Linked DNA regions of Schizosaccharomyces pombe. The protein of the gene in region 1 interacts with the protein of each later gene in a biochemical or structural test. Each region holds a gene or a part of one and is shown in the gene's direction. Other genes may lie near its edges. The genes, in order: ufd2, sds23 and dsk2.

The links.
Region 2: the proteins of ufd2 (region 1) and sds23 form a complex in vitro, tested with the Schizosaccharomyces pombe proteins (one study listed by BioGRID).
Region 3: the proteins of ufd2 (region 1) and dsk2 form a complex in vitro, tested with the Schizosaccharomyces pombe proteins (one study listed by BioGRID).

The regions. Positions count from the first base shown.
Region 1 is NC_003424.3:2,122,247-2,133,855, forward strand, and holds ufd2 (ubiquitin-protein ligase E4), read left to right. Parts: upstream 1-6,194; 5' UTR 6,195-6,216; coding exon 6,217-6,234; exon of another isoform or gene 6,235-6,242; intron 6,243-6,276; coding exon 6,277-7,020; intron 7,021-7,066; coding exon 7,067-9,263; intron 9,264-9,303; coding exon 9,304-9,377; 3' UTR 9,378-9,467; downstream 9,468-11,609. Other genes in the region: rad57 (DNA recombination mediator, RecA family ATPase Rad57/Rhp57), read left to right, coding at 1,044-1,110, 1,206-2,203; whi2 (phosphatase activator), read left to right, coding at 2,746-3,558; gih35 (ATP-dependent RNA helicase), read left to right, coding at 3,821-3,911, 3,955-4,032, 4,081-4,145, 4,194-4,450, 4,487-5,258, 5,305-5,406, 5,455-5,623, 5,666-5,986 and 1 more; Rho family GTPase Rho5, read right to left, coding at 9,649-10,180, 10,299-10,369; family protein ICE2, read left to right, coding at 11,193-11,456, 11,536-11,609. UniProt on the Schizosaccharomyces pombe protein: E4 ubiquitin chain-elongation enzyme specifically involved in polyubiquitin chain assembly.
Region 2 is NC_003423.3:945,435-955,283, forward strand, and holds sds23 (protein sds23), read left to right. Parts: upstream 1-5,342; 5' UTR 5,343-5,389; intron 5,390-5,445; 5' UTR 5,446-5,446; coding exon 5,447-6,673; 3' UTR 6,674-6,858; downstream 6,859-9,849. Other genes in the region: GTPase-activating protein Gap1, read right to left, coding at 1-1,968; origin recognition complex subunit Orc5, read right to left, coding at 7,382-8,317, 8,358-8,432, 8,486-8,842; Pex16 family peroxisome import protein, read right to left, coding at 9,767-9,780, 9,823-9,849.
Region 3 is NC_003424.3:3,368,008-3,377,721, forward strand, and holds dsk2 (UBA domain protein Dph1/Dsk2), read left to right. Parts: upstream 1-1,719; 5' UTR 1,720-1,735; coding exon 1,736-2,800; 3' UTR 2,801-3,377; downstream 3,378-9,714. Other genes in the region: nucleoporin Nsp1, read right to left, coding at 1-1,442, 1,509-1,512; rmt2 (N-methyltransferase), read right to left, coding at 3,402-4,475; SPOM_SPAC8E11.10 (sorbose reductase), read right to left, coding at 5,210-5,977; SPOM_SPAC8E11.12 (uncharacterized protein), read left to right, coding at 6,689-6,997; SPOM_SPAC8E11.08C (uncharacterized protein), read left to right, coding at 7,509-7,811; tubulin-specific chaperone cofactor A Alp31, read left to right, coding at 9,141-9,209, 9,273-9,359, 9,512-9,714. UniProt on the Schizosaccharomyces pombe protein: Protects ubiquitin chains against dissambly by deubiquitinating enzymes thereby promoting protein degradation.

The DNA.
Region 1 (11,609 bases):
AAAAAAAAAAAATTCAAAATTCAAAATTTAAGGCATATTTTAGGATACTATAAGCCCATTATTTTTGAGGCGACAAGAATACTATGTTGAGCAACTTTTAATTTTTAATAAAGCCAGATAACTTATCAAAGAATTCTGATTTGTTGACAAAAGCAATTACAATACTCAATTTTTAAACAGTTGCCCTTGCTTCGAATTTCAGCTGCCTCCGTAGTGCAATCTGCGAGCGTTAGGGTACGTTATTTATCTATTACCTAATTCTTTGTACAGTTGAAGTTTCATGAGATGAAAAATGTATCATGTATATTTTGTCTGTTATTGAGAAATCTCAACAAAGTTCTATTTAGTATTACTTCATGTTGAACCAAGCATTCATAAACTAAGAAATTTGTTGGTAGCTGGTAAACTGAGCGAATTATCGTCGGTTGATTGGTAAAACATCATTTCTTATACTTCGTTTGCTCAACCATACTACGAATTTTAATGCCTAACAATTAATGAGCAATACACATTTGGATATGCTGCTTATATAATTTCACATATCTTGATAACTTAATTATCAATTAAGGAATGGTGGTTAGGCAAGTATGTGTATCATTACGTGGGGTTTTTCATAGATGTATGGTTTGAAGATGTTAAAAAAATAAGTGTAAGCGGTTACTATGCTAATGTTCTATAAAAACCAATGTTCATATAAATATTCGTCGATTGCGGGGCTTCTTCTCATAAGGATTATAATTACTAAACATAGAGGTATTGGCAGGTCAGTTGTAATTCGCGTACAACATCTTCGACTCACCACTTCTATAGTGGTACATAAATTACCGTTTCTTTCTGCGAAAAAGTGGGTTAGAAGTTCGTGCTATTACTTCTAAATAATCGTGAGAATTTAATTCAATCGTAGGATACAAAGCTGTTCATTATATAAAACTATCAACTTTCGAATATTCTATGGTGTGGATATAATTTTCATTTATCTTTATGAGTAAAAACTATACATATCATATTTACAATTAAAAATCTTCTTTCTTTCTACTATATGGATGGATATTTCGAATTATGTTGACAATTTCTACTTTGATGAGAAAATTGCTTCAGCATTTGAATTAGGTAAGCGTTTAGTAGTTCAATAAGCTTGCACATAAAAAAAAAATATTGGGTTTTTGTACCGGGATCTTAAAAGACGGAATTACTGACAGCTTTAGGAGAAGTAAGCACGGTTGATTTGTTAACGCTGGATATTACTGAGCTAGAAAGACGCACACATTGTAGTCAAAGTGAGTTATTACAGTTAATTGAGCAGATATCCCTCCTTCTTCAACCAGTAAGATGTTCTGCTTCCAAAGTCACTTCGAAATATTTGACAACTGGCGATGTAAAGTTGGATGAAACTCTACATGGAGGTATACCAGTAGGACAGTTAACTGAAATATGTGGTGAAAGCGGTTCAGGGAAGTCACAGTTTTGTATGCAGCTTTGTTTAATGGTTCAACTACCTCTCAGTTTAGGAGGAATGAACAAAGCAGCTGTCTTCATTTCTACAGAGTCCGGTCTTGAAACAAAACGATTATTTGAACTGGCGCGTTATTTACCAGAAAGGTATCCCAAAGCTGATAAGAAAGACATAATTATAAAAAATCCAGGAGATAGGGTGTATACTATATTATGCCCAGATCTGGAATCTCAAGAACATATCATTCAGTATCAACTGCCGATTTTATTCAATCGGGATAAAATTGGGTTGGTTATATTGGATAGTGTCGCCTCCAACTACAGAGCTGAGCTCCGTTACAACCGATCCAAAAGTCATTTTAGAGATTTAGATAATATTGCCAAACGTGGAAATCAATTGGGAAAGTTAGCTATGACTCTACGCACTTTAGCTCATCAACATGAAGCTGCTGTTGTCATAGCTAACCAAGTTAGCGATAGAATTCCTAGAGATTATGATGCTATTGGGTTGTTTAGTTTAGATTATCAATCGCAATGGTTTTCGGGATGGGATGACACAGATCCAAATCCCAAAATACCATCTCTTGGTCTCGTTTGGACTAATAACATCAGTACGAGATTAGCATTAATTAAGAAAACCGACTCTGCCACCAATAATTCGGGGAGAATCTTTCGGGTTGTTTATTCACCAAATTCTCCAAGGCTTGACGTACGAATATGCATAGGATCGGTTGGGATATATTCGTGCTAGCATTTTTGTAAAAATTTTATATATAATATAATAAAACCGGTTTATGAATTGCCCTAACTTTGTTTAATCGACTGTCGCTTATCAATCATTCGCAGAAAGAAAAGTAATGCTTTGAGTAACTGTTACATATATAAGTGTACTTATTTATCTTTATATTTATATTACCTCTGTCACTATTAAATATATATTTTGTTGATCTATGATGGTAGTGCATTTTTATTAGAATCCGACATACTTTAGTGGACTGAATTTTGGATATACCAGTTGGGTATTGAAATGGAAAAAAATACAATAAAAAGTTTTACACGTAACAAAGAATGCCCAAAGAGCTCTCTTAACCGACGAATGGCTTTTTCTACCTGTTTTTACTATTGCGCGTAAAAGATTTTGTAAGACCTTTCCGATAGCTTCCGCTATTGGCGATCCTTTAGAAATTTGCACCTAACATTTTTACCAAAAGCCAAGTATGCATTGGTGATATCTTGTAAATAAAAAATGAACATTCTTTTATAACATAATCGTTACAAAAATAGAACACAAAAATGTCAGTTCCAATTGATCGAATCAATACGGTTGACACTTTAGCCAATACACTGGAAAGTAATTTAAAGTTTTTTCCAGAAAAAATACATTTCAACATCCGGGGCAAACTAATAGTCATTGATCGCGTTGAACTTCCAATATTACCAACTACCGTGTTGGCACTTCTATTTCCTAATGGGTTTCATCTGCTTTTAAAACATGAGGGAGGTGATGTCTCATCATGTTTCAAATGCCACAAAATCGACCCTTCCATTTGTAAATGGATTTTGGACACCTATCTACCATTATTTAAAAAAAGTAATAATGCTTATCCCTCAAAAATTGCATTTAATCCTATATCGAATACTACCCTCGTTTTATTCTTAACAGAATGTTGCAATATCTATTTATTTTCTGAAAATAAAAAGCCCGTCGACCAAAAAATCAGGAGCGACTTATTAGAGCAAACTTTCAAGAACAACGACGTTTTTGAAAGTGCAGACAAAAAAAAAATCCGAAAAGGGCTGAGTGATGGACCGCTAGTTGATGCATTACAGCATTGTGGATTTCGCTACAACGATAAATGGGCCAAGAGAGTAAAGGAGCCAAAATTAATGAGCTTAATGTCGTATATCATAACAACAGTCGAGAGCTCCTCATTAAGCGAAGAATTTTTGAGTAAAATTTTGAAGCTATGGGGACAGCCAGGTAATAAGTGCTGGTGGATAAACGAAGTTATAAAAGTAAACGGATCTTTAATCAATGTTTGGAGGAGAAAGCAGTGGTTGTTGGAAGTTACGATTATGGGAAATCGTGAAAATTCTCAAGACTAAGTGTTTTAGTAAAAATAAGATTAAAAAACATTTTGCTAAGTTAGGCCGTGCATGCAGCCATTCTTTTAACAGATACCAATGTTACGAGGTTTCCCAGATTTTACTCAAATTGCGTGATAATTATTGTAGTATATTTATTTTGAATAATAATTTTTTATTTGAATTTTGTTAATACTGTTTTTTATAAATATTACAATACGTTCAATCTAGTTGTGGTAACATGAAAGTGCTTCCACTTACTTGATGCTCTCTACGCAAGAGTATGCCTAATGAGTTTATTTCCCAATCGCTTAGTACTCTTACAAATACACCCTTAAATATTCAGAAAAAGCTATTACCAATCACCAAATACAGTATGTAGCTGTTTTACCCTTACATTGCTGACGTTACATTTAGGAAACCAGTTGTTATATGCAGTAGAGCAAAATCAGATTACTATAGTGTTAGGCCACACAGGATGTGGTAAAACAACTCGTAAGTATTTTGATTAGATGGTTTATTAAACTAAAAATAATCTTGAAGAAATCCCTCAATTTTTATACGAAGCTGGATGGGCGTCCCAAAACGGTATTATAGGATGTACACAGGTTAGTCACAACTTTGTTTATTTATCATCCTCCTAACTTATTTGAAAGCCCAGAAGACTCGTAGCAAAGAGCGTCTCTGAACGAGTATCTTTGGAACTGAACTCTCCTCCTGGAAGTTTGTGTGGATATAGCATTCAATTTGATCATAACGTTTCTGAAAAAACAAAAATAAAATATATGACCGATGGAATCCTTTTGAATGAAATATTTTTTGATCCTTTGCTGGAAAGATATTCAATAGTCATTCTCGACGAAGTCCATGAACGAACTTTGTCGACAGATCTCCTACTAGGAGTTTTGAAAAGGTATTTAAATTTTCTATTCATAGCTGACAAATCAAGGATTTTAGAAAAGAGGAATGATTTTAGACTTGTGCTCTCCAGCGCTTCTGTTGACGCGAATAAACTGTCTCAGTTTTTCGGACAAGATAAAGTATGCACTATGTCAATTGAAGGGAAATTATTCCCCGTAGAAACATTATTTTTGCAGAAACCTACAGAAAATTACGTTGATTCTGCAATCGAAACGGTTATAAACATTAATTCAACCTATCCGCCTGGTGATATATTGGTTTTTCTTTCGGGAAGAAAAGAAATAGAATACTGTATAAAAAAGATTGAAGATTCCTTAATTCATGCTTCCGAAGACTGTCAAACTTTAGTTCCTTTACCTTTACATGCTGGTCTTACTGTTGACGAGCAAATGCGAGTTTTTAACATATATGATGGTGACTTCAGAAAAGTTATATTTTCTACGAATATTGCTGAGACTAGTATTACTATTGATGGCATAGTTTATGTCGTTGATTCAGGTTTTAATAAACAACGGATATACAACCCGTATACAAGGACTTCAAAATTGATTAACGTGCCTATATCTAAGTCAAGTGCTATACAGAGAAGTGGAAGAGCTGGAAGGACAATGAGGGGAAAGGTGTTCCGTCTATATACTGAAAAAGCTTACAGCTTGATGAAAGAAGAATTTGAAGCAGACATCTTAAATTGCGATATGTCACCGTTGGTGTTATTTTTGAAAGGTTTAGGGCTAAAAAACATACTTCAGTTTCCCTTTTTTGTCCGTCCTCCCACAGTTCACCTTATGGCGGCTCTAGAGGTTTGTGAATTTTATTATAGCCGGCAAACAACTAATTTTTTTGAAGGACCTCTATCTTTTAGGTGTCTTGGACGAAAGTGGAAATTTGACAGACCCACTTGGCATACAAATTTCCAACTCATTCTTGGATGCAAACATCTCCAAAGCTGTACGTACTCCCATATAGGAAATAAAGTACACGCTAACCCATCATTAGTTACTTACTTCCAACCAATTTGGTTGCACTCATGAAATTCTTTCAATTGCTTCAATACTTACAGCAGGCGAAGTATTTTATAATCCCACAAGTTCATCAAAGAATGATGCCTTCGTTGCCCATTCTTCTTTTTTTGCAAATGAAGGGGACATCATTACCGCATTAAATGGTATGCTTCATTAATAAAGTTTAAAAGTGTATTAACATTTAGTTTTTGAATCTTTTGTCGGTAACAAAAAAGATTTACAATGGTGCAGGAAAAATTATTTGAACTATCAAACTTTGCGCCAAGCCCTTGACATTCGCACTCATTTGGTTCGTTTTTTAAATAAATTTTCTATACCTACTGCTCAAAGATTACCATCCAGTGATTGTTCCAAAATTTTGAAATGCCTACTTGATGGTTTTGTGCGTAACGTCGCACATTTACAGAATGACGGCTCTTACAAAACAATAGGAGGAAAGCAGGTTTGGTTAGACTCTAGTAGTGTACTTCATGAAAAAAAAACACCATGGATCATGTATTCTTCAGGTAAGCCTATTTGTTATAAGACTATTTTAACGTTTTAGCTGTCGAATCAGAAACTCAAATATTCGTGAAGAATATTTCTAAAATAGAAAGTTTTTGGCTGGATAAATACTATAAACGAGAAAAATAATATATGTTAATACAATTTCATGTTACCGGTTTAGCATAGTAAGTTTTGGTAGTTAAAACATATGTTGACCTCACTTCCACCAACTTGCTCAATCCACCCCATTATGAGTGATTTGGAAAAGGTAAGAGAAAAATTTCAGCTAATTGCTAATATTGGCCCATAGATTCGTCTTAAAAGGCTTGCTAAATTGCAGCAGACCAATTCGGAGGCAAATTCTTCTAAAGAACCTAAGGAAAGCAATATTGCACCTGAACCTAAAAAACCTGATTTAAAAAAGAGATTTATTGGTTCAAAGGCTACAACATCAAATTCAGAACAAAAAGAAATATCTCCACCTGTTACATCTGGTGCTCCAAAACATCGCTTGTTTTCTAAGGATGAATGGATGCATTTTATAACATGTCAGGCTCTTAATATTACATTAAGTGAAACTGATTCATCAAAATACTATTTAGAAGGTTTTAAAAAAGATTTAGAAGAAGAGGGATCCCCTTTATTATTTAATGAGAATAATGTTGACTCTGCGTTACTCTCTCGACTGTCAACAACTGGCAACAATACTTTCTCTTATTTGTTACAGTCTTGGAGTTTTCTGTATCAGTATAAAAAGAGACTTCCGAAGGATGAAAACCAGGACTTTAAAATTCACTATTTATCTCTGTTAAAAAGTTTGCTTGTCAGTTATGCCGGTATTGTAGTAATGCTTCCTGACACATTCAATTCGGAGACAATTGATTTGGCCGAGGTTTTAATTGGTGCAGAAGGTATACCTTTGGAATTTCTATCAGAATTTGTTCAGAGGTTTGAACACGAAAACTTAGATGAATTGTTTATTCCTGTGTTGGAATCTTTATCTTTGAAAATTGGTCTTATGAATGTAGATACTGTTCAAATGAATGTGATGCAGGTATGAACATCAATTTTTATCTTTTAGCATAAACTGATATTTTTAGATTATATTACAACTTGTGTCATTAAAACCAATTGCATTACTTTTGCCGAAGTTGCCTTCTTGGAATCCTACGAATAATGCTGGAGAAATTGAGTACAAAACGTTTCTTGGAAGAATATCAAGCTTGTCAGTGTTTACTCAAGATGTCGCTTCTCGATATTTTTCCAATTCTACTGAGAGATCAGCCCAAAATATATCTTCGTCAATAAGTTCTTTAAAATTGACTATGTCTACTTATCAGGATGTCCTTTTTCAAATTTTCAATACCCTCATTCGAACATCTACATCTTTGAGAGAGTCTGTGTTGGATTTCTTTGCCATGGTGGTAAATGCCAATCACAAGCGACAATCCATTCAAGTTAATCATTTTGATATTACATCTGACGCCTGCATGCTAAATTTTTCACATGTGTTAAGCAGACTTTCTGAACCATTTCTTGACATAGGATGTTCGAAAATTGACAGAGTACAAGTTGAATATTTTAGGAGAAACCCTCGCGTTGATATCAAAGAAGAGACTAAATTGAATGCTGATCAAAAGGCTTCGGAATCGTTTTATTCAAAACCAGCCGAGGGTTCCAATAACTTTATTTCAGACATATTTTTTTTAAATCTCGCATTTCATCATTATGGTGTAAATGCTACCTTTAAGGCTTTAGAGCAACTTGTGCAATCAATTCGTGATAGCGAGAAACTGAAAGAAAGATTAGAGACTGAACAGCAAAATATGAGCGGTAGTTTTCAAGCGACACGTCTCACTGCTCAATTAAGTCGGCTTGATCAAAGATTGGATTTAGATAGATCGTTTGTGCACTGTTATGAGATTATGCTTACGCAGACATCTGATACTTCAAGATCATTTTCTTTTCTTAATTTCGTTGCCATTTGGTTATCGAGGTTAGCTGATGGTCAATCTTCGACATATCCAAAAATGCCGCTATCGTTACCGTTTAATGAAAATGCACCGGAAGCTTTCAAATGTTTACCTGAATATTTTATTGAAACCATTACAGATTATATGTTGTCTTTATTTAAAACCTCGTCGAGTACTTTGACGCTGCATTCCTTAGAGCCTTTGTGTGAATTTTGTGTGTCGTTTCTAACTCAAGCTAATTATATCAAAAATCCTTATTTGCGAGCGAAACTTGCCGAGATTTTATACTTTGGAGTGCAAACGCACGTGGGAAGATCAGAATTGTTGTTAGATGTTGTACGTACGTCGAAGGTTGCAACAAGGTGGTTACTTCCAGCACTTATGGCGTTTTATATTGAGATTGAATCTACAGGACAATCTACCCAATTTTATGATAAATTCAACATTCGTTTCTATATATGCGAAGTATTTAGAACTATTTGGAAGCAACCAGCCTATTTTGGTAAGCTGGAGCAGGAGCAAAAAACAAATTTGCCGTTTTTTGTTAAATTTGTAGCTCTCATGCTTAATGATGCTACATATCTTCTTGATGAGGCTCTTTTAAAACTAACCGAGATTCACAACCTTCAGAGCCTTTTGGCAGATGCAATAAGCAATAGCAACTCTAACCAGAATGTTCAAGAATCGCAAAGCAACTTAGCGGCCGCAGAACGTCAAGCTTCTACTTATTGCCAGTTAGGGAATGAAACTATTTTTATGCTCAAATTGTTCACTTCCTCAATTCCTAAAGCCTTTTGTGCCGTTGAAATTGTAGATCGGTTGGCAGCTATGCTAAACTATAACCTTCAAGCTTTATGTGGCCCTAAGTGTAGTAACCTCAAGGTAGAGGACCCAACGAAATATCATTTTAATGCAAAAACCCTTTTGTCGATTATTTTCGATGTTTATCTTAACCTGTGCAATGAACCTGCATTTGTCGAAGCTGTTGCTCACGATGGCCGTTCTTATAGTAAAGAAATATTTGAACGTGCGACTAGCATTATGACTAAGCACAACCTCAAGTCATCTTTTGATATAGAAGCTATTAAAGAATTTGTGAATAGGGTAGAGGCATTCAGATTGCAAGAGGCTACTGAAGAGGAAGACATGGGTGATATTCCTGACTACTTCTTAGATCCTCTTATGTTTACAATAATGAAAGATCCTGTTGTTTTACCGAGATCTGGCATTTCGATTGATAGGTCTACTATTAAAGCACATCTACTAAGTGATGCCACCGACCCATTTAATCGAACTCCATTAACGCTTGATGATGTGACACCGAGTAAGTTTTTTTTTTCCACTGTTAGTTACTAATTCTTTAGATGATACATTACGTGAGGAAATTAACACGTTCCTGAAATCAAAACGCAACAAACATTCGCGAAATAGTGAATGAATATAACTGTGTTTATACTAGTTTTTTAATGAAAGGCTTCGATAAGTTTAAATAAAAGATTAGACAATTAATTACTATGAAATATTTAAACATTCATGGAAACTCATTAGGTAATGATTCGAAGGATAAAAAACTTGGTGTACGGTACCACAAAGGTTAAGCTCGTAAAATAATTCCTTTGCACAAGAGGATAAATGAATATAGTGAATCTAACAATACAGAATGTAATTAATAGAACGCTCTTATACACCATAACAGAGATTGCATTTCATCAGAGTAAGATACAGTGCTTCTTCTTTTTTGTCTTCGGTACACTAGCAGGCTTAAATTTAAGCATGGAAGCACGAGCTGCAGTCTCAAAAACCTCATTGACCCCTTCGTTCAATTTCGCTGAACATTCGAGATACTTATAGGCGCCAATCTTTTGAGCTACTACCTGTCCTTCTTCAAATGTGATAGGCTTCTGTGAGGTTTTGGAGAGCTCTTCGATTGTTTTTGGATCGTTTCGTAAATCCACTTTACACCCAACTAGCAAAATGGGTAAATTGGAGCAGAAGTGAAGAACTTCAGAAATCCATTTTTCTTGAACATTGTCCAAACTCTCTGGAGCATCAACTGAAAAACAAATCAAAACGACGTGAGAGTCTGGATAGGAAAGAGGGCGTAAACGATCGTAATCCTCCTGACCAGCTGTATCCCATAGTGCCAATTCAATATGCCTTCCATCAACCTCGACATCGGCAACATAATTTTCGAAAACAGTAGGGACGTAAACTTCAGGAAAAGTTCCTTTGGAAAAAACACTAAAATAATTGTTAGTAGATTAATCGCTTTAAAAACACAATTGTTGTTTAGATAAATCAAATTCACATTTGAAAAGCTCGATAACAATGAATAGAATTTCTAAAAGGGCAAACGTACATCAACAAGCATGTTTTACCACAAGCACCATCGCCAACAATAACCAATTTACGACGGAGCTCAGTAGTCATAATGTCGAATAAAAAATTTCTTTTAAAATAAAAAATTGTTGCAAGTATATCAATAATTGGTTCGTGAACGCAAGGAATTGCCCGCTTTGAAAAAATCGATCTCAACTACCAATGTAAATATAAGGCGACTGATAACTCAAGCAACGAATAAATAGGGGGCAAAGCAAAAAGAAAATATAAGCGGCGTCTTAGAGTAATTTAATTGTAAAAAGAATTGTTAAAATCTATTCAATTGAACTAAATTTCAACTTTCCTTTTATAAATTTATGCAAACACACAAGTGGAGCAGCCCAGTAAAACCGACCTGATGGAAAAGATAGTAGTTATAGCTTTTTATTATGTTTAAAAAATCCTTTGGCTTTTATCTATACAATATTTTATAGTAAATTGCTAGTATACTTTCGAATTTTAAAACGTAAACAATAGGCTTTGGTGTGGTTACGAGCATGCTCCCCCTCTTCCAAGATACATACAAACCACGTATTGCGTTATATTGTCGTATATCTATTAACGATTAATAAGGAATATGAAAGAAGCTTGATAAGTTTCATTGCCTCAGCCGTTCAAAATTCATATAAAATTATTTAGCAAAACTCCTTAGCTACGGGATCAGTGCTACTTCATGAACGATTAAAACAGCACTGAATGTAAAAATTAGTGTTTATAGTTTACCTGTGAAGGATTTAAAATTATAGAAGAAAAAATAGAGTGAAGTAGTTTTCAGTTTGGGTTCTACTGTGTTAAAAAGATAGTAATTGTACAAAAATTGAAAAATCAACGTCTTGCATTTACGAATTTGACCAATTTTTAATAATTTTTGGCAATGGACCAGGAAATTAGGTCGAATAATTATGATATTTCGGTTTCGACAGTGGAGGACACGAGTTTTGAAGCAATGGATGATTCTATATTGGAAATTATTGATGATGAAGCACCAGAGATTCAGGGAAAACCTAAAGCAAATATATCAACACATTTCCGCAACATGCTAGCAATGTTTGGGAATTTCCTTTCCCTGGGGTTTTTTTTAGTCATAATAGTTTTAGTAGGAATCGCCTTTGAGATTGGCGGTCGGTTTTGCGGTTTGGTAAGTTTAGGAATGAAGTTATTTCAACATTTCTTTCTTTCTCTTTCTTAAAAAATAAACTAACATAAATTTAAAATAGATACTTACACTTGCACTAGAAGTATACTTTTTCTCTACTGCTTTGTTGAAGCTGTTTGGGCTTCGAAAAATTGC
Region 2 (9,849 bases), on another chromosome or scaffold:
GCCAACGCCTCTAGAAAATCCTTTGCTGTCACTATGACTGGGTTTAATCTGAGAACGGGCATTGTTCAAATAGCTCCCATAAATTTGCAATTGAGTTTGAAGATACTCATTATGGTCACATATAGCACGATGAACATCCTGTAAAGCATCACGTTCTGCACGTATCCTTTCATAAAGGGCATCGAGGTCTATAAATTCCTTTTCGACCTCAGAAGTTAAAGGCTCATAACGGTTCTCCTTGTCAACCAAACGTAAGGTTGACAACTCATCTAAAAGCTCTATTGCACGTATGCCCTTTTTCATTAATGACATACTTTTTAAGGACGAAACACTGTCAGCAATTAGTGGAAGGTCTAGAGGCACCCTTGTAGCTGGATGGCCCGATGGCAGAAGACGTAAAAGTTGAATGAAAAGCGTTTTGGCATCGACGTATAAAATATCTTCGCGGGTTACCTTTAAATTTTGTTTTAAATCAGGAATTGAAGAATCCCATCGATTATAAAGAGGAAGTGTGACAAGGCAATTGTCTTCCTGTGGAACAGATTTACACGGCTCGCCTAATTCTTGAAGAATTAAATGAACATGACTATCGGGATCATATAAATTATCCAAATTCTCCAAAATGATTTCGTGTGTAAGGTATATTTCATTGACGGTCATCTCAAGTGCTAAGCTCTTCTTTGATAGAGCTATATATTGGTCAAGTTCCAAAGCCTCGAAAAAGTCACCGACGTTTCCAAGTTTACGCAAAAGATTGTGAACTTTTTCTTCATACTCTTTCAACATAGGTTGAAAAGAAACATCCAAATGTGTCTTCGTAGAACTTGTGCCATTGGCAACACTTTGAATAATTTTTGCAATAGTAGCAAGTGTTTTGCGGACGTTATCAGATGGACAACTGTCTAAAAGCATAGAAGTTTGTGGCGAAATAATAGCTGGATTAACGAAACGAAGAAAGAAAAATCCACCTATTAAAGAGCAAATAGTGCTGTCTGAAATACTAGGAAACAGACGATTTGTCAGATTGCGAATTAACTTACAGACCCAGCGAATACCATATGGAATTTCGTCGATGCTGTTAAGAACAGCATCTAAAAATCGTTTTGTCAAAAGCAATAATTGAGCAGAACGCTCTTGAATTGCATTTTTTACAGCAGGAAACTCTGAAACTTCCTCGTTTGTTAATAAATTATCATCTTCAGATGGTGATAATTGACCGGTATTCACCAAATAGCGATAAACTGAAAGAGGATGGATGTCAAGCTGCAAATCAGGATGGATAGCAACGTCATTAATGCATTGGTAAAGGATACTACGAAGATATGCTTGTCCGGGTCCACGACGTGTATAAGTTGTAAGCATTCTAGATACCGGAGTATTAGCCCTAAGCAGAGACAAAACGTCAGAAGTGGCCTCAAATTCGGTGGTTAATACCATTTGAAAAAGAGATAATAAAAGATGCTCTTCTCTACTCTCGTATTGGTTTCCGTATATATTAAACATAACGATTTGTAGAAGTGCATCCATGTTAAAAAGCTTGACGCGACGAACAAGGCTAGCGATATAGGCTGGTTCAGACTGAAGTAAAAAAAACAACGCTCCATACAACTGAAGCTTACGATCGTCAGGAAATGATCCTTTTACAGCATTGTAATTATCATTCAGTCGTTTTGCAAACTCATGCTGTTCTTCTTGTGCCATTCGATTTTGGATAAGAAGTGCAATTTTGGAATCAAGGTAGCGTACATCCCTCTCGAGGACGAAGTTTTGTTTGGACTGACTGGATATTTGTTGTTTGAGATCATGCAATTCACGATCCAAGTGGAAAAAGGCATCCTCAACGTCGGACTCCATATCAAGATCGATTGTATAAAGCACAGAGGTGCTTTCACGATTCCTTAACAAGGACAATCGATTTGTTTGCGGAAGCACCGACGAAGATAGGGTACCAGAGTGCCGCTTAGTCATTATAAATTTCAATAGCTAAAAATTGCCTAAGTAGCTAATGAACAAGAGAGGGTAGAAAAAAAAAAGAAAGAGTGTAGGGATCAAGTCAAAGTGTAAAAGAAGAAAACAAGGATGGATATTATACTAAGTTTTCAAACAAAAAAAAAATAAAATAAAAGAGAAAATCATCAAAAGAACGTTATTAGAGGAGATCGGACAGAACCTATTGGTTCTATTAGCAAAACACAGTATTAAGACCCACTGGCGCCCGATTAAACGATTAAAGAAAGCGAAATTCTTCCAAAGAAAAAAGAAAAGGATATAGAATTTATAACGTTATTGAGCAATTCAATAGTATTTGAGCAAAGCGTCCGAGTACGTTAACGTGAAAGGACGTAGGTTCAATGTGACAAATCTGGGAAAAAAAGAGAACAAAGAATAAAATGCTTGACAAAACACAAAAACAGGGTAGCAAAATGATATTGGACGAATAAAATTTAACACAATACTAGTGAGTGTTGTATATGAAGGTAGATGTATATGTATGTGAAAATAAGTAATGCTTTGTAGATGGAATAATATATATAAATATTTAATATTTATATATTTTTAAACAAAAATTAATAACTGGCTTGCTGAAGCAGCAACAAAATAAAGATGAGAAAAATTAAAAATTTTCAAGAAAAGATACTCGAGAAATTAAGATTATTATGTTGTGATATGAGATATCAGAAAAAACAAGGATGCTTGTTTAATTTTATAGTCTTTAAAAGCGTCTTTGAGGATTTCTGTATGTACGAAGTCTTGGGTAGAAAGGCCGACCAAAGGGTAGCGACTATAAGCGATGTAAGGTTTAATGATGTGGAAAAAAAAAATGCCGACTTAGTGAAAGTAAATATGTTACAATACAAAGTGGTGAATTAAAAAAAAAAAAAAAAAAGAGAGAGAAATGTAGAAATTTTATACATGAGAATATGTTAAACAAAGGACAAAATCTAATAATGTCTGCTTAAGACTGGTAGGTACATGTCATAGAAATAATTTACAACGTATATCAATTAATTCAATTGAGAGAATATCTAGTACGAAACGTTAAGTGCTTGTTTAATATGCGCCTGAAGTTTTTGTTTGGCTTGAGCTTTGTTTACATAGCAAGGACAAGACAGAAGCTATTATGGTATTTAGTGGAAATTCATTGTTTAATAAAGTGCGCAGCATTATATCAGATTTCCAACGTATTTTAATATTCGATAATGTATTAATGATCAATTAAAGAAACTCTAACTAATTTTTCAATTGGTAATTCGTTATTTGTAATGATTCATTTATAGATTTATTTTATTTTTTTTTATTTTTTTTTTAATTTTTTTTTTACACTAAGCTACTGGCAGTTTGTACGTTAAGCAAATACAAAGTCGCACGTGGGTGTTTTACCAAAAAGAATTGCGAGTGAATAGGATAAAATGGACGATGAATTTGTAGATTTTTTTTACTACAATTAATCAATGAAAGGAGTAAAAATTTAAAAAAAAAAAATAAAAAATAAATAAAAAATAAAATTAAATAAAGGACAAGATGAAAACTTATTATATGAATTATGGATTTACTTTATTTTATGCTCTTACAAACCGTAACTGGACTGCTGGAATTTCTTCTACTAGATGAGCGTCTATTTGTGTCCTATATATTTAAATTTTATTTTCTCAAATTACATATATATATCAATATGTTATTTCGATTATTTTCGATTTTAATTTTGATATTTTGGAAATTCACTTTATCTTCTACATAATCGCATTTCCTATATCAATCATCATCATCATTTGGACATCTTGGATCCGCTAATTATAGTAACGTTGTATTTTCACTTCATATATCACACTTTACCATTTAACTTTCTTATGGTACGTCGAGTGAGACACAATCGATACCTTGTGTTCTTCAATAGCTATTCCCACAGCACATGAGTCTTTTTACGTAACCCAATAACCTCTTCCCCGGAGTGATCTGTAGCGGACCATTTACTCAATATTGAAACTTTTTAATTACCACGTTGAATCACAAATTGCCAACAAAACACAAGCGCTTTATTTATTAAACGCATCTGACGTTTCAGTATGTGAATTTCTATTACTAGTAGTATGGTATTTTGTCGCACTTCAAATTTGGCCACCGTTACTATATGAGACGAAGCAATACGTAGCAGTAATGTATTTAGTACTCATTTATCAATGAAAAAGATCAAAACAAGAGATTAACTGAGTGATATTCAATAGGATTTGCTAAGTGAAGAGATGATCAAACATTTAATGCTGACTTGGTCATCTCCAACCTATATTACATAGATTTGATTTCTCCATGTTTGGGGAGAGAAATTAGACGAAGGGGTGGATTTTCATTCGTTTCTTCGACAAATAAGTCTTGAGCAAAAGTCCACTCAAAATTCGAATGATGTATAGCGCTATAGCAGTGGTAGAAATATCTGTTGTTTATGATTGCCAATTTTGCTAAGCAATGGTAATGATGATCATCTGTGTAAGTACTATGTATAATAATTAGAGAACTGAGTACCCAATATTATAGCATGCATTATTATGCTTACAGTACGAGATTACTCTCAAACTAACTAATAAAATTAATTACTTGATGACTTGACTTATCTATTCTCCTGCCAAATTATCAAACAACATAAAGAGTAAATTTTAATTTTTTTTTCAAGATTGGGTAGATGCTGTTCGGTATCGCAACGTTGAATTATGTATGTTTCATACTGCGTCTTAATATTATTTAGTACATATGAATGTGTTGACTTTGTTCATCCATAACTCTAATTCAAAAGCATTTTTAACAAACAAAGCGCTTTATTGCTCCATAGGCGCGCCTCGTTTCATCTAATCACTTCATCGTTGCACACAAATTTTTGTTTGCCTTTTTGCAATGACAAAATTAGGATTTTGTTGTGCAAAACCGACCTACACTGCATCTACAACTAGAGCAGCTGCCCCACTTTCCCACTTTATGAACAAGGAAAAACGTCCGATTAACCGCTTGGCTATTTTTCTCTCATACTAAATCCATCCTTATGTTTAATTTTAATTTTTAAATTTTTAAAAAAGAATAAAAATTTTTTTGCCTAGTTTTACCTTGCTGGGATGAAAGCGGGCAAGCAATGAAATAGTGGTTGATTGTGATGTAAATACTGAAATCGCAGATTATGAAATTTTTAACTAGGCCACATACATGGTGGATTAATTAGGTAGACGGTGGTATACGGCGGGATTTACAGAGATCTCAGTCTAATGTGGTAAAGAGGTCGTGGATTAAAAAAGCCTTACCACTGCGTACCCCTATTTCGTTGTATCACTAGGTACTTCCGTCACTGCCTACCTCAACGCTATCCAGAACCACACACTGACCTAGATTTGACAAACTGCACGGTACAGTAAGTTTTGTTGTATGCAGAGGAAAGAAAGAGATTTTAACTGGAAAACTGTATAGAATGCCTTTGTCAACTCAATCGTCTGATTCTTTATCGAGCGCTGGACGTCAGTCCTTTGGCGTGAACTCGGTCTCAGATTTTTTGGCACAATTTCCCATTCCCACTAATCTTCCTTCAAATAAATGGCAAGATATCCCTGTAACATTTCTTCATGATAATGAAATTGCTCTCATAGACCCGGAAACTTCCATGGAAGAGGCAAGTTCCATTTTGATCGACCGAGATCTTAGCGCCTTGCCTATTGTTGCTGCTAAGGGAAGCAACGAGATTGCTACGACCTTTGACTATGCAGATCTTAACTCATTTTTGCTCATGGTAGTGGGTTTTGATGATTTCAATGATGGCAGGTTTAAAAAGGTCGCTGAAGATATTCGTGCTGGAAAAGTCATTACTGCTTATGAGGTTGCAAAACTCGGGAAAAACAAGGATGACTTTATCACCATCCCTCACACCACCAGCCTTGGACGTCTCGCTGAGATTCTTTCTTCCGGTATTCGTCGTGTTGCCGTCACTAACGAACAGGGTGAATTGAGCTTTATGGCTTCTCAGCGCTCTATCATCCGCTTTTTGTGGAATAATATTCGTGCGTTTCCCGATTTGGAGCCTCTAATGTCCAGGACAATTCACTCTTTGGACATTGGAAGCACTGACATCACCTGTATCTCTGGAGATCAAAAAGTCGCCGCGGCCTTGCGACAGATGAATCAAACCGGTATTGGTTCACTTGCTGTTGTCGATGCTCAATTCCGGTTACTTGGCAACATATCTCTCGTTGATGTTAAATACGTTACACGTTCTTCTTCTGTCTATTTGTTAAACAAATCATGTGCTCACTTTTTGAGTGTCATTAAAAGCGAACAGGGTATCCGCGCTGGTAAGGATAGTGCTCCTGCTTTTAACATCTATGAATCCTCTACTTTTGCTTTTACGTTGGCTAAGTTGGTGGCTACCCAATGTCATCGTCTTTGGCTTGTGCAGTCACCTTCCTGCCCTCCTTCCCCAAAAAATAACGCACATCTTTCCCCTGGATCCATGGGTGGTGTTAAGGTCAATCAATTGTTGGGCGTTGTTAGCTTAACTGATATCATATCTGTTTTATATGCTCACATGAAAGGCACTCTTCCACCCGCTCCCCATAGTGCTCCTTCGCTTAGACATGGACGTCGAGGAAGCACAAGCAGCCATCGTAGCCATAGCAAAGCTAGTGTAGATACACAACGTCGGTGATGCTAAATATTTGATGATTTGAAACACCCTTTTTTCTTTTTCTCATTTGAACCTCCGTTTTATTTCATCTTTTACTGTTACCTCTAACATTCCATATTTCATGAACGGGTTTTGATACTTATTTTTAATCATCTTTAAATGGATAAGATTTTGGTTAAATCTCCAATGATTTCTTATTAACCATTAAAAATATACTTTTACTTATGTTTTGACGTTAACTGACGGACGCTTTTCTTTATACATATGTTCTTATTAATGAATTGTCTCCCGTTGTTGATTTACACGGCAGCAGAGTAGCTCTTTCAGAGGGTTAACTTTTATATCAGAGTTATGATTGAAACTTTGCCTCTTGATATATATTATGTATCCATCTTAGCAGCACATTACTTTATTTTTTTGTCAAGAGTGTTTTCGGCGCTAGTTTTTGCTTTTTACAGCTTTGCCAACTTCCATAATGTTAAATACGTAACAGTTTACACAGAATCACAGAGGCGTAATCGAATTGTTTGTAGTGTACATTTTCTTTTATTTTCCAGAAGTAACAAAAAAAAATATGTTTTTTAAGTTTTGGGCCCTTTAAACAGTAAAATAACATGTTATGGGGAGATAGAATGGATGTTCATATAGTTCTGTATAAATTAATGAATTGTGACAGAACTACGATATTCAAAATTTCAGTAATGCAATAAAATAAACCATAATACTAAGCTATCCCGCCAAATAACTATCGAGAGGAAACGAAAGTGAATCTGCGATTTTTAATACATATTCGCGAGAGACATTGACAATGTATCTAGGGCTATCCAAAGAGCGAAGCACACCTTTGGAAGCCGAAAGTATCATTTTTAAGGAGGCGAGTGTAGCTATTTGAACAAAAACATCAGCGGTCAGAACTTTCTCTACCGGGGAAGAAATGGCATAATAAATAGCAATCAACCTTTCTACTTCAAAAGGTTTAGGTCCTAATGTAAGTTGGGATATTTTTACAGCAGACCGGCCTTTGCTCCCAGCGGTTCTTGGTATTTTGGAAAATAAAACCCCTTCATCTTGAATTTGTTTACGTTTTCTTCCACGTCGTTTCGAAGTTTTAGAAAATGAAAAAAATTGGGCGTCTAACCGGCTTGGATTATAAGATGCTAGGAATGCAGAAACGAGTAAATATTTGGAAACGAGCGACAAGTTAATAGATTTGGAATCAAGAAGATTTTTTATTTCAGTCGGGTTGATTATGTGAAGTCTTTTAGTAACCGTAGCATCTGACACTAAAAAGTTTTTAGCCAGCTTGTGAAGTTGAGCATAATCAGCAGGATGTATGTCTCCTTCAACTATAGGTTGAATGAACTTTGGCCAATATCTATCCAAAACACTACGAAAAGACCTATAGTCATTTAAGCACTGCACTCCAAAAACACTCCAAAGAAACGAGCAATATTGCATCCAGACGCTGAGCTCAATTTCGTCTTCAAAAACACTATCGCCAGATCTATCCAAAAAATCTAAATTAGGAGGTGTTTTTTGGCATATCTCTAATATTTCCGCTTGGGTATATTGTGGGAAAAAAATCACTGCAATAGACAATGTTCCCAAGTATTGAGCAGGGTGAGAATGAAGTACAAAAATGATTGACAGATTGGGAATGTTTGCCTAAAATAGTTAATCAGTGGGTCTGTAAATATTTACTTACAACAATCGGAAGCTGAGCTAATTGTGAGAATAGAATAGTAGAAGCCTCAGCGAAATCATCTATTTGATCCAGCACCTATAACTCATATTAGTATTTAAGAGTAATAAAATAGGAGAGGAACTAAGTACCAAAAATGTATGATAGTCCCTTTTGGACATTGCCTGTTCCAGTAAATAAATAAATCCACTGATATTAATGCCTTTTTTTAATGCTATATCTTTGTCAACACCGACTTTTATAAGGATCCGGTACCAGAAATGAGCGACTGTAAAACAGTCTTGCAAATTAATCCAAACATTTTCTTCTTTTGACAAATCAAAAGCGGTCCGCAATAAAAAAGTCTTTGCTGTACTAGCAACTCCGTAAAGCACAATGCTTGGAACACGACAATCCTTATTAAAAAGTAAACATGAAAGTTTCTTTATTTGATCTTCCCTGCAAAAGACATTCTTTTTTAATTCGTCTTCCAACTGATACAAATGCATTTCATGGCAATATGCTTATGCTTTGGCATATGGTGTCGTGCAGTGAAACATTCATCGCTCGAAGCAAAAACTAGTGGACTAATTTATACAAATAAACGAAAGGTAATTAATGGAAAACGAAGAATAATATTCGTACATTTCAAATACAATTTAAACTTTGGAATTATTGAAATCTTAATTGATTGTTTACTATAAGCGTTGTACTTGGTTCAAGGTGTATTTTATTGAGAAGCCTTGTCGTAACAAAATGTGCTTAAACAGTTATTCTAAAATAGAATTATAAAATTTTATTTTTTGTAATATATTTGATTAATAGTAGTAAAGAACAGAAGTTCGTTTCGCTTGAGTTATTAGAAGTTTTCTTTCTCCTAGCTAATTCACTTTCAATACTAACTTCTTCACCGCTAATGCATAGCCAAAATTATTTTTGAATAAATGGCCTAGTGCGGAGTACGTAGAATTAAATATTGCTTAGATTTAATTTGTAATCTAGCCGTTAACTGTTTTAAGTATGTTATTAAAAAAATCAAAATGCATTTTTTAGTAATTGATATGAACTCATCATAATATCCGAATTTCAGTGTATTACATCTTTTCCTTTGTCTGAATTTAACACAGCATTCTTTAGTTGTGAAATTTAAAGTCTTATTTAAACCTTACATATCTGCACCGCAGATTTCAGATACTGATTGACTCATGTATGGATAACGTTGCTAATCTTCGTAGCATGCAATGTTGAAGCTTTTGCTTTATTTTCGATAAAAGTGTACTGAGTTTTATAGAAGAATGAAGACTAATCATCAAAGCAACAAAAGACGTAGTAGATAAATGAAATACTAACAATACTGAAATCAAGAGAGAGAAAAACACCGAGTTAAATAAATAAGAAAAGGATTTCTATAGGTTCTGGTCATCAAGGCTTCCTTAATAGTTTCTAACTGAATGAAAGGTTAGTAGCAGTAAAAATATCAATATCATACCAGAGGATATATAATTTTCGAGACTTT
Region 3 (9,714 bases), 1.2 Mb from region 1:
GTCATCAATGCGGTTTGACATCTGTTCTGCTTCAACAGTTTCAGTGTATAATTTCGATATTAAAGCACCATTGTCTACTAAAGTTCTATCCCAGTCAGAAACCTGGTCACAAAGCTTATTAAAAACTTCAGTTTGCGTAGTCAAATCAGTAGACCATTTATTAAGGATTTCCTGAAGAGTTTTGTGTTTGATAGAAGATGGAGGAGGCTCAGAAGGAGTAGTGGAGGCAGTAGCGCCCGGCTTGGCGCTGGGATCGGCAGGTTTATTACCAAAAAGGGGACCGGTTTTTGAAGTAGATGTTGTAGTATCAGTTGCAGGTTTACCAAATGAAAATCCAGAGCTAGTCTGATTCGCACCTTCTGCAGGTTTCGTATTGTTCGAAAGTGGCGGAGCTGAAGTTGCTGTTGTGCTAGTATTTTCCGTAGGTTTTGAAGTGTTTCCAAAAGAAAATGTTGGCTTATTATCACCAGTTGAAGTAGCCGGTTTTGTAAAAGCTGAGTTGGGAGCAGTAGGTTTATTAGTATCCTCTGTAGTTGCAGGTTTTCCAAAACTAAATCCAGTACCAGCTGAAGATGTGGTGGTAGTACCTTTGTCCGTTGCGGTTGAAGCTGCTTGGCCCGCAGGCTTACCAAAAGAGAAACCAGTAGTTGGAGCAGAACCAGTGTTAGATGCAGCAGGCTTTGAGTCATTGGTTCCCGTAATGGAGCTACTGGGGGTGACAGTAGTGTTAGATCCTGGAGCTGAAGTAGTTGCAGGCTTTCCGAAGCTAAAGCCTGAATTAGCAGTGGTTGAAGTGGATGCATTATTAGTAGAGCCTAAACTAGCAGGTTTTCCAAAGCTAAAACCTCCGCTTCCAGTAGCAGGTGTCGTAGAAGTAGAAGAAGCTGGAGGGGCATTGCTTGTAGTCCCTGTAGCAGCAGGCTTCCCAAACAAAGAACCAGTACTAGCGGCTGCCGGAGTCGTCGTATTAGTCGTAGAAGCGGGTTTACCGAAATTAAAAGAATTATTTGAACTTCCAAAATTAAAAGTACTACCTGAAGGATTAGTAGTTGCTGCACCTGTAGCAGAAGAAGCGGTGTTTTTACTTTTATCACCAGTAGAGTTAGCAGACCCGGTACTTCCTAAACCTCCGAAAAGAGGTTTAGCCCCAGCAGTATTGTTGGTATTAGTAGACCCAAACGAAAAAGGTGAACTCGTTGATGCATTTGTTGAGTTGCCTGTAGTCGCTGCTTTACCAAAAGAAAAGGTACTGGGAGCACTGGTGTTACTCGCGTTATTAGAACCAAATAAGCCTCCAGACGGCGCTGTAGAAGAGGTATTATTATTTGTGTTTCCAAACAAGCCAGTCGCCGCAGGAGTTGCTGCTCCTTGCGCAGCTGAATTCGGCTGCGCAGGTTTCCCAAATGAAAACCCTGAATTCTGGTTATTACCTGGGTTGAAAGCTATTGATTTTGTTAGCAAATTTTAATAAATTCCAAGGGACCAGCTTTGCCGCCTCTTACACTTACACATTGATTTGGGTCTTGCTGAAAGTTGTATCAGGACAGTGAAATGTTTATGGCGTTCGGTCACAACTCGGTGAATTCGGAGACGTCGGTAACCAAAACGGAGAACTGGGTCACCATTCGGAGTTTTTGGGACCTGAAGAAAGGGTCCACTGAAGCTCACCGAAGATACTTCTTTTACATAAGAGCGTCATCGAACGAGTGGAAAATACCTAACCAAACCCAACAACATGACCAATATATCGTTGACTATTAAGGCGGCAAATGATCAAAAGTACGCAGTTACAGTTGATAGTGAATCTTCTGTACTTGCATTAAAGGAAGCCATTGCGCCTGTAGCTGATATAGAGAAGGAACGACAAAGACTGATTTACGCTGGTCGCGTTCTGAAAGATGAAGAGTCATTAAAAACATACAAAATTCAAGATGGACATAGTATACATTTGGTAAAAACCTTAGGACAAAATCCTGCAGCCGCCGCCACGAATGTATCGGACCGCACTCAACAAGTTCCAACGAATATTCAAGCAGGTCAGGGTGCTAATAATCCTCTTGCCAATTTAACTAGCGCTCGTTACGCTGGATTTAATATCCCTATGCCATCAGCATCTATGTTTGGTCCTAATCCTGAGAATCCTGTTCCACCCTCGACCGAAGAGCTTGCCAATATGTTGTCTAATCCTATGGTGCAGTCTTCTATTAATGAGATGTTTTCAAATCCTCAAATGTTGGATATGATTATTAATAGCAGCCCGCATCTTCGTAATGCACCTCCTTATGTCCGTCAAATGATGCAGTCCCCTGAGTTCCGTCGCGCGATGACTGATCCCGACACAATGCGCCAAATGGCTCAACTACATCAACAAATGGGTGCTGCCGGTATTGACCCTATGTCCTTAATGGGGGGTGGTCTAGGAGGAGCTGGCTTAGGCGGTTTAGGTGGAGCTGGTTTAGGTGGATTTGGAGGGGCTAATAATGCTACAGCTGGTATTGCAGGTGCCGCACCTGTTGATCAAACTGCTGCTGCCAACACCATTCAAAATTTATTAAATAACTTGGGAGGAGCTGGCTTCGGTGCTGGTTTGGGAGACGCCGGTTTGGGAGCTGGCCTTGGGGGAGCTGCCTCTCCTCCAGCTCCTGCTCAAGATACTCGCCCTCCAGAAGAGCGTTATGCTGAGCAATTGAGCCAGCTTAATGAAATGGGCTTTGTGGATTTCGAGCGTAACGTTCAAGCACTAAGAAGAAGTGGAGGAAACGTGCAAGGTGCTATTGAATCTTTGTTGAGTGATCTTTAATTCCTTTGTTCGTTTCTAGAATATATCAATCAGGCTTATTGGTGTTCATATATTTCAAGGATAATACCCTTTGTATCAAGACTTCCCTCTTCCCTTTTTCCTTTTGTAATAAAATTTATACGGCCCAATCTTTTGGTGATATTTAGATTATTATGCCATGCTTGCAAGTTTTGCCAGATTTACCTGAACAAGACTTTTAGTGACTTTACCTGGAAAGTCATCGTACTCTGTTTTATCGCGATGATCATATTAATCGATTTGAATGAATATGTTTAGTCGTTTAATTTAAGTACGATGACGAATTCTATATATGCTTCTCCTAGATAGAAAGCTTACTTGTTGTGTAAAAATAAGTTTTTTCTAAATTGTCAGTTTACTTACGCTTCAGTGATTTATAATGTTCAATAAACGATAGCAGTTTTAAGATACTAAAAAAAAAGAAAAATACGTCTGTTTAACATTACAACTTAATTATGCTTATGAAAGTTGAATTTCAAATAATAAAATGATATAGACAAAATTGTATTAAGATAGTTTATCCTTAGTCCCAAAAACTAAATTCCAAAGTTCCGTCCGATGACAAGCGTATAGTTCAGCAAGTTTAAAAATCAAAAGTGACAATGGGCAAGAAATACTTTGAAACATCCCAGTATCGACGCTTTGCGCCTTTCCATTCCTCGTCTTTACTACTTACGGGCATGGATTCGTATGTACATTGAAGCCCGAACGATACAAGATCGATGGGGACCAATTTTTTGTAAACATCGTAAAATGTTTGGTTGTCGGCGCCCAATCCGTTAAAAAAGGAGAACTTGGAATCTGTTTCAGGATCTAAGAGACCAACAACTGAATCAAAGAAGTTTCGAAGATCTTCGTAGCTTTCTGCGAAAGCATCATAGTAGATGCCATCGAAAACGTATTTAGACGCAATGTCGTTAATAGCGTTCTCCCAAGTTGTCTCATATACAATCACATTTTCACGATCCATCCAACCGTTTTTACGCATATGTTTCAGAACGTCCGGATGGGGCTCAATGATCACATGAAGCGAAGGCTCCTTTTCCTGAAGGAACGTATCTATTATTCCAAGACCAAAGCCGACATTCAAAACACGGCGGCCCTTGGTTGGTGCAATAATTTCAGCAGAACGATGCATTATTTTTCGTTCCCAACTCATCATAACAGCGTTTGCATCACTATCCAAAAGGCTTGAACTGTCTTCTGTAGGTTGCGTATAGGAGAGTGCACTTTGCAAGTATTTTTCGTTAGTATCCAATTGTTCGTTTGTAAGTTCCTTCCTCTCTAAGAGAGAAAGTAATAGCTCTGATCGAACTCCAGCATCCACGATTGTTTCGTACAAGCGCAATAAATTCCTACGACGTGCAATGCATCCAGGAGTTTCGTTAGCTCTATCAATACCATTCCAGACTCCACCATTAGAAAGGATCCATTTCGTTACTTCAATAGCTTGAACCTCTGTCTCCTTCTCAGCGTATGAGGCTATAAAATGTAAAGCATTTTTGCCAGACTCGATATCGATAGCTGAAGTAACTGCCCCCTGATCCACTAGATTTTGAATTTTTTTTAAATCTAGTTGTTTGGAGGCTTCCAAGAGACTTAAGGACTCTTGAGATTCTTGGAATTCCACCGATTCATTCACTAGTGGAGCGTCCATTTTAATATGAAGATGGCAGGTATTTTTTACTCGTAGCTTTAAGCTGAATGCTTTGCTGGACTTAGAAATTAAGGGATTTTTTTGTTAAACAATAAGACATTTTAGATACCGTTGTAATCATTTACATAACGAAGATGAAATAAAAATAAAAAATTCTTCTTTGTTCTATCAAGTGTTTCAAAGACATAGAATGTACTCATGAGCTATAGGATAAAGAAAACTAGCAAGGAAATGGCATTAAATAATTAAAATTATTCTACCTCGATATATTGTACAAATAACCCATCTGAAACATGCAAAAAGAATAGCATACCGTTGATTTATTTTAACTTCGGCGATGTAGTATTACTAAGGTGTGCTTATGCAAGTTAGAGAAAGAAAGAGTTAGTTTATCATACACAGTGTTTATGTTAACTATAGTGATAAAACTTTTTAGATTTGTTAGATGATAATTAAAAAGCATTAGAAACTTCAAAACGACAAATCGGGAGAGGAAGCATATAGAATAGCAGTTTGTTTTAAAAAAACCAATTCAAATTACATGCTGCCATGAGTGTAGAGATCTAAGCTCCAACAACAAAATGAGTACGGTAGAGGGGAAATGTTTTAAAAATGAAACAGATCCAGAAGAAGAACCTTTTTGACGTAGCTGTTTTGGATTATAGGCTCAAGGGAGGTTCAAAAATTCAAGTTTTTAATTATGATTATAGAGGGAAATATTAATAGTAAAGAAATTAACGAGAACAGTAACCACCGTCAACAATAATGTCACTACCTGTGCAGTAGGAACTAGCATCGGAAGCAAGGTATAAGTAAGCACCGGGAAGCTCATCAGGTAGACCAATACGGGCTTGAGGAGTATACTCCTTCCATTTCTTACGCAAGTTTTCATCAGCGTACAGAGTCAAATCTGTGTCAATGTAGCCAGGAGACACGGAGTTGACACGAGCGAAAGGGGCCCACTCAACGGCAAGAGCGCGAGCCAGATGTTTGACAGCAGCCTTGGTAGCATGATAAGAAGCCCATTGTTGAGGCCAATTGGCAATGTGACCACTCATACTAGCCGTGAAGATCAAACTGCCCTTTCCTTGCTTCTTAAAATGATGGCCAGCAGCCTGTGCAGTATAATAAGCACCGTTCAGGTTTATGCCCACGACCTTGGTCCAGATGTCTTCATTCTTATCTTCCAAGGATAAGTGGGGAATCGCAATACCAGCATTAGCAATCATTACATCCAAACGACCACCCAATTCCTCAACTGCCTGGTTGGTGGTTTCAATTACAGCACTACGGTTCTCAATGGGGCAAGAATAAGCCTTGGCTTGAACACCATGTTTGTCGCGTAATTCAGCAGCATACTCAAGAGCCTTTTTGTTACGACCGTACAAAAGACCAACATTAGATCCAGCGGCAGCGAATGCTTTAGCAATCGAAAATCCGATACCGCCTGAACCACCGGTGATGAGAGTGGTTTTACCTTTAAGAGAAAACATAGAAGTCATTATGAGATATATGAAAAAAACCGAACGATGTAATAATTATTAAGAAAAAAAAAACCCCACAAAAATATTTTAGCGAACAAAAAGTGGTAGTAAAATTTATGAACACCGGTTTAATAGCTTTTGATTAGATGAAAAGCAAAAATTTTTTTCCGAAAGATTTTTAATAGTAAGAGAAGGCACTCTTGGCAACCAGAAAGAAAAATTGCTTTGTGGCAATGGACCCAAGGCTTTTATACAAAAAATTTCCTCTTTTTGACACACAGAAAGAGCAGTCCTAAATAGTGTTGTTGGAAAAAATATATGTGTAAATAAACGATTTGCAAAGGAGGAAAAAAATAGCGCAAATAGACAAAACGGTCGTTTTACTCGAGTGACACTAGTAGATCCATCAAACCGATAATATCGGGTATTGTGATGGCTGAGTGGAAAGTTTGAATGAATAACTGCGAGAAACTAGGCTACACACATAGGAGTCAAAATAGTGTAACCCGCAAAATATAGAAATCCAATTCATAAATGTGAGAATGACAATTCATTTATTATAAATTGGAAACTCATTTCATCTTTTCTTTTTTTTTCGTGAAATACTACGAGTTTCTCTTAAATCCGGGGAGAAAGTACGGATAAAATCCCATGATTAAGAAGGGGAGCGTCGGACGACAAAGGTAGCTTAAATTAACAAATGGCCAAGTGATTTTGGCCATTTGGGGTATGATTTCGCTTCTCTCGATCAAGATGCAAGCGATTAAAGAACTGGACTCGGAAGAGGAACCAAAAGTTGGCGAGTTCTATAAGGGCAACACAATTTCGTTTTGCAAAAATTCGCTTGAAAATGATACTCAATTACCTCAAATTCTCTTCTGCATTAATCCTAAATCCATCCGAAATTTTCTTTTTCCACCCATAGCAATATCAGATCCGAAAGAAGCTCAAAATCACTGTTCGTCTTACTATTATATTAAGTACCGGTATTATATTGTACAGTCAAGATGCGGGATGATGGGAAGAATGTCTTTTTAAATATTATCTAAAAAAGGTAATAGTTACATGTTAATAACTATATATATATATTTCCAGACTATACTAGTAAAGTAACGGTTGAAAAAATGTGTAAGTAGAAGAACTATTAAACTTAATTGCGTTCAGTAGTTTCTGCATGGTTTTTAACTAAAACCATGTTCGATATTGTTAACTATTAAATATACTTATTCAAAAAAAAAGAACACCAGATTCTCCTGTCACGCATCTAGGTTTCCAGTTTTTCATCTGTTCCCTCATTAACGTTCTACCAGTTGCCCGCATTGTTCCAGAAGATCAACCCAAATCTGAACGAGATGCAATAGCCTGGAGACTACCAGAGTCTTCATTTTACCCGACCGAGATCGTTTCCATGGTCGGAATCGAACACTGGAATACTTGAGACTTGGCGAAAAATGAGTATTATACAAGGGAAGAAAAGAAGAAGAAAATAAAAGGATAATTTATGTTTTACGGCAATAAAATAATGAATTAATAAGCAAGAAGTATTAAAATGGACTTTACCACTAATGAGGTTCTGTTTAGTAGGTTAGTAGTCTGTAAAAATTTGACAAGAAAAAATTTTCCGTTTCTTCAATTGAAGGGGAGCTCCATTTTAAGATTTGAATGGTCTGAAGAAATGTATAGATTGTATATATGGTTGTTACCGTACCGAAAAGACTATAATGAAAAGTTTAAGGGAATTCTAATAAATCCTTCTATTTTTCTTCTTGGCTGTCATCATGTTCAAATATGCAGTTTTCCGAACAACCTTGTATTTTTCATGGGAAAATGCGATTTGTTTCGTTTTTGTTAGCTTTGTTTGAATACCATTTTTTAACTTATGCGATACTTTCTAAACGGAGTTCACTTTTTAAATTAATCTATATCAACTGAGCCGTTCAATTCAATCCCTTTTTTTATATCAGCTTGTAAACAAACGTTTCAGGAAATGAGAAAGTTCAAAAAGCGTTAAACAGTGAATGCTTGTATGTTGAGCTTTGACTTGTTTGCAAATGTTTAATTGTCGAAATTCATCATCTGTATCTGTCCAAAGTTGTGAACTGACAAGATAGAGATTAATTTGTTAGATCACGCAAAGTACGATATGTTTAAAATGCTTATACCAGGTTGCAGTCTTTGTTTTTCATAGCTTTGCAAAAAAAAAAGTGGATTAAAATACTAATGACTACTAGGGTTCGAAAGGTTGCTGTTCGATTATGAAAAAGCGTTCACTCTTTTATCTCCCAAGCGATGATTTGAATTTTTGATGCATCTGTGGCGTAGAATATGATCAATCATTTTAGAAAACAGAATAATATTCAAGGATCCATTTAAAGTCCTATATAGAGTAAAGGATTTTAGCTATTATCCTCACATTGAAGACTGGTCCCATTATACCGAAGTCTGTTGACATTAATATCGTTGTACCGGCTTTTTGAGTAGACTAAATATCTTGTACAGGATCTACTTTGAAAGAGGGTATTAGGTCCTTTTTTTATTTTTTGTTTTCCAAGGATTAAGATAGAAGCTGAATTTTTTTGGCTAGGCAAAGTTGACTAATTATTAACAGACTGTGGTTCGAGTGATTAGCAATCAACCTATCCTTATATGAAATCGTGCTTTTAACAATTTCGGTTGTTGGGAGATAACTGTGTGTACGGAGAATCAGAAATTTTTGTTTTGGAAAATATTTGTAAAAGCAATTACGTCTAAATATAATGAATTACGCGCTAGAAAATTTTCATATAGCTGAATCCCGAAAAGCTCAACCTCCCATATGATTGAGCATCCATAAAAGCATGAAATTTTTGGTACAAGTATCGGTGAATCGTAAATTTAGAAATAACTGAGCAATTTTATCTCATACATAATATAGGAATGAAACGTTTGTCGATCAATAACTAGTCTGATACTTGATGCAAACATTTAATCAAATACCCTTTTTTAGGAATTTAAGGAAAGGGCTTTAAAAGAAATTGAAAACTTAACTAGAACTAGCTTTTCTTAATCGTTTCTCGTAACTTATCACCACACGCTAACATTAGCATTCCTTTGTATTCCAACGTTACCTACACTGCAGTCAAGGAAAATCATCCAACCTAACATTATTCCTTTGCATATCGCGTCCATTTTATTTTCTACCATGTCAAATACTGTTAGGAGCTTAGTCATCAAAACTAATGTCGTTAAAAGAATTATTAAAGATGTAGAAGTAAGTTTCCTTTTTGGATCGCGATTTTGTAGATGGAATTTTCTGACCTCAACAATTGTTTAGTTGGCTCATATCGATATTAACGAGGCCGAGAAACGTGTACAAAGTAAAATTGATAATGGGGAAGATTCTGCAGAAATTGAGCATCAGGTATGTTGCATTAGTTGAAACCATATAAACGTTGGACGTGTTGTGCTAGAAGATGTTTCTACCAAGCTGAAGATACTTTTCGGTGGTTTCCGCTTTAGCGTATCTTTTTTAAAATAAAAAATAATCAAAGTACTGACATTCTGGACCTCTAGAAATTTGTTTTGAAGAAGCATCTTGAGGCGTTGCCAGATGCTCTTGTACGTCTTCGTAATGCGACGAACGACTTGGAATCCATTTCTTCTGACAGTGCATACGAAGGAACTCCTGAACTTGAACAAGCAAATGAATATTTAGAAAAAGCAAAAGAAGTAATTGAAAAAGAGCAAACGAATTTCCCCACGAATGGGTACCACTG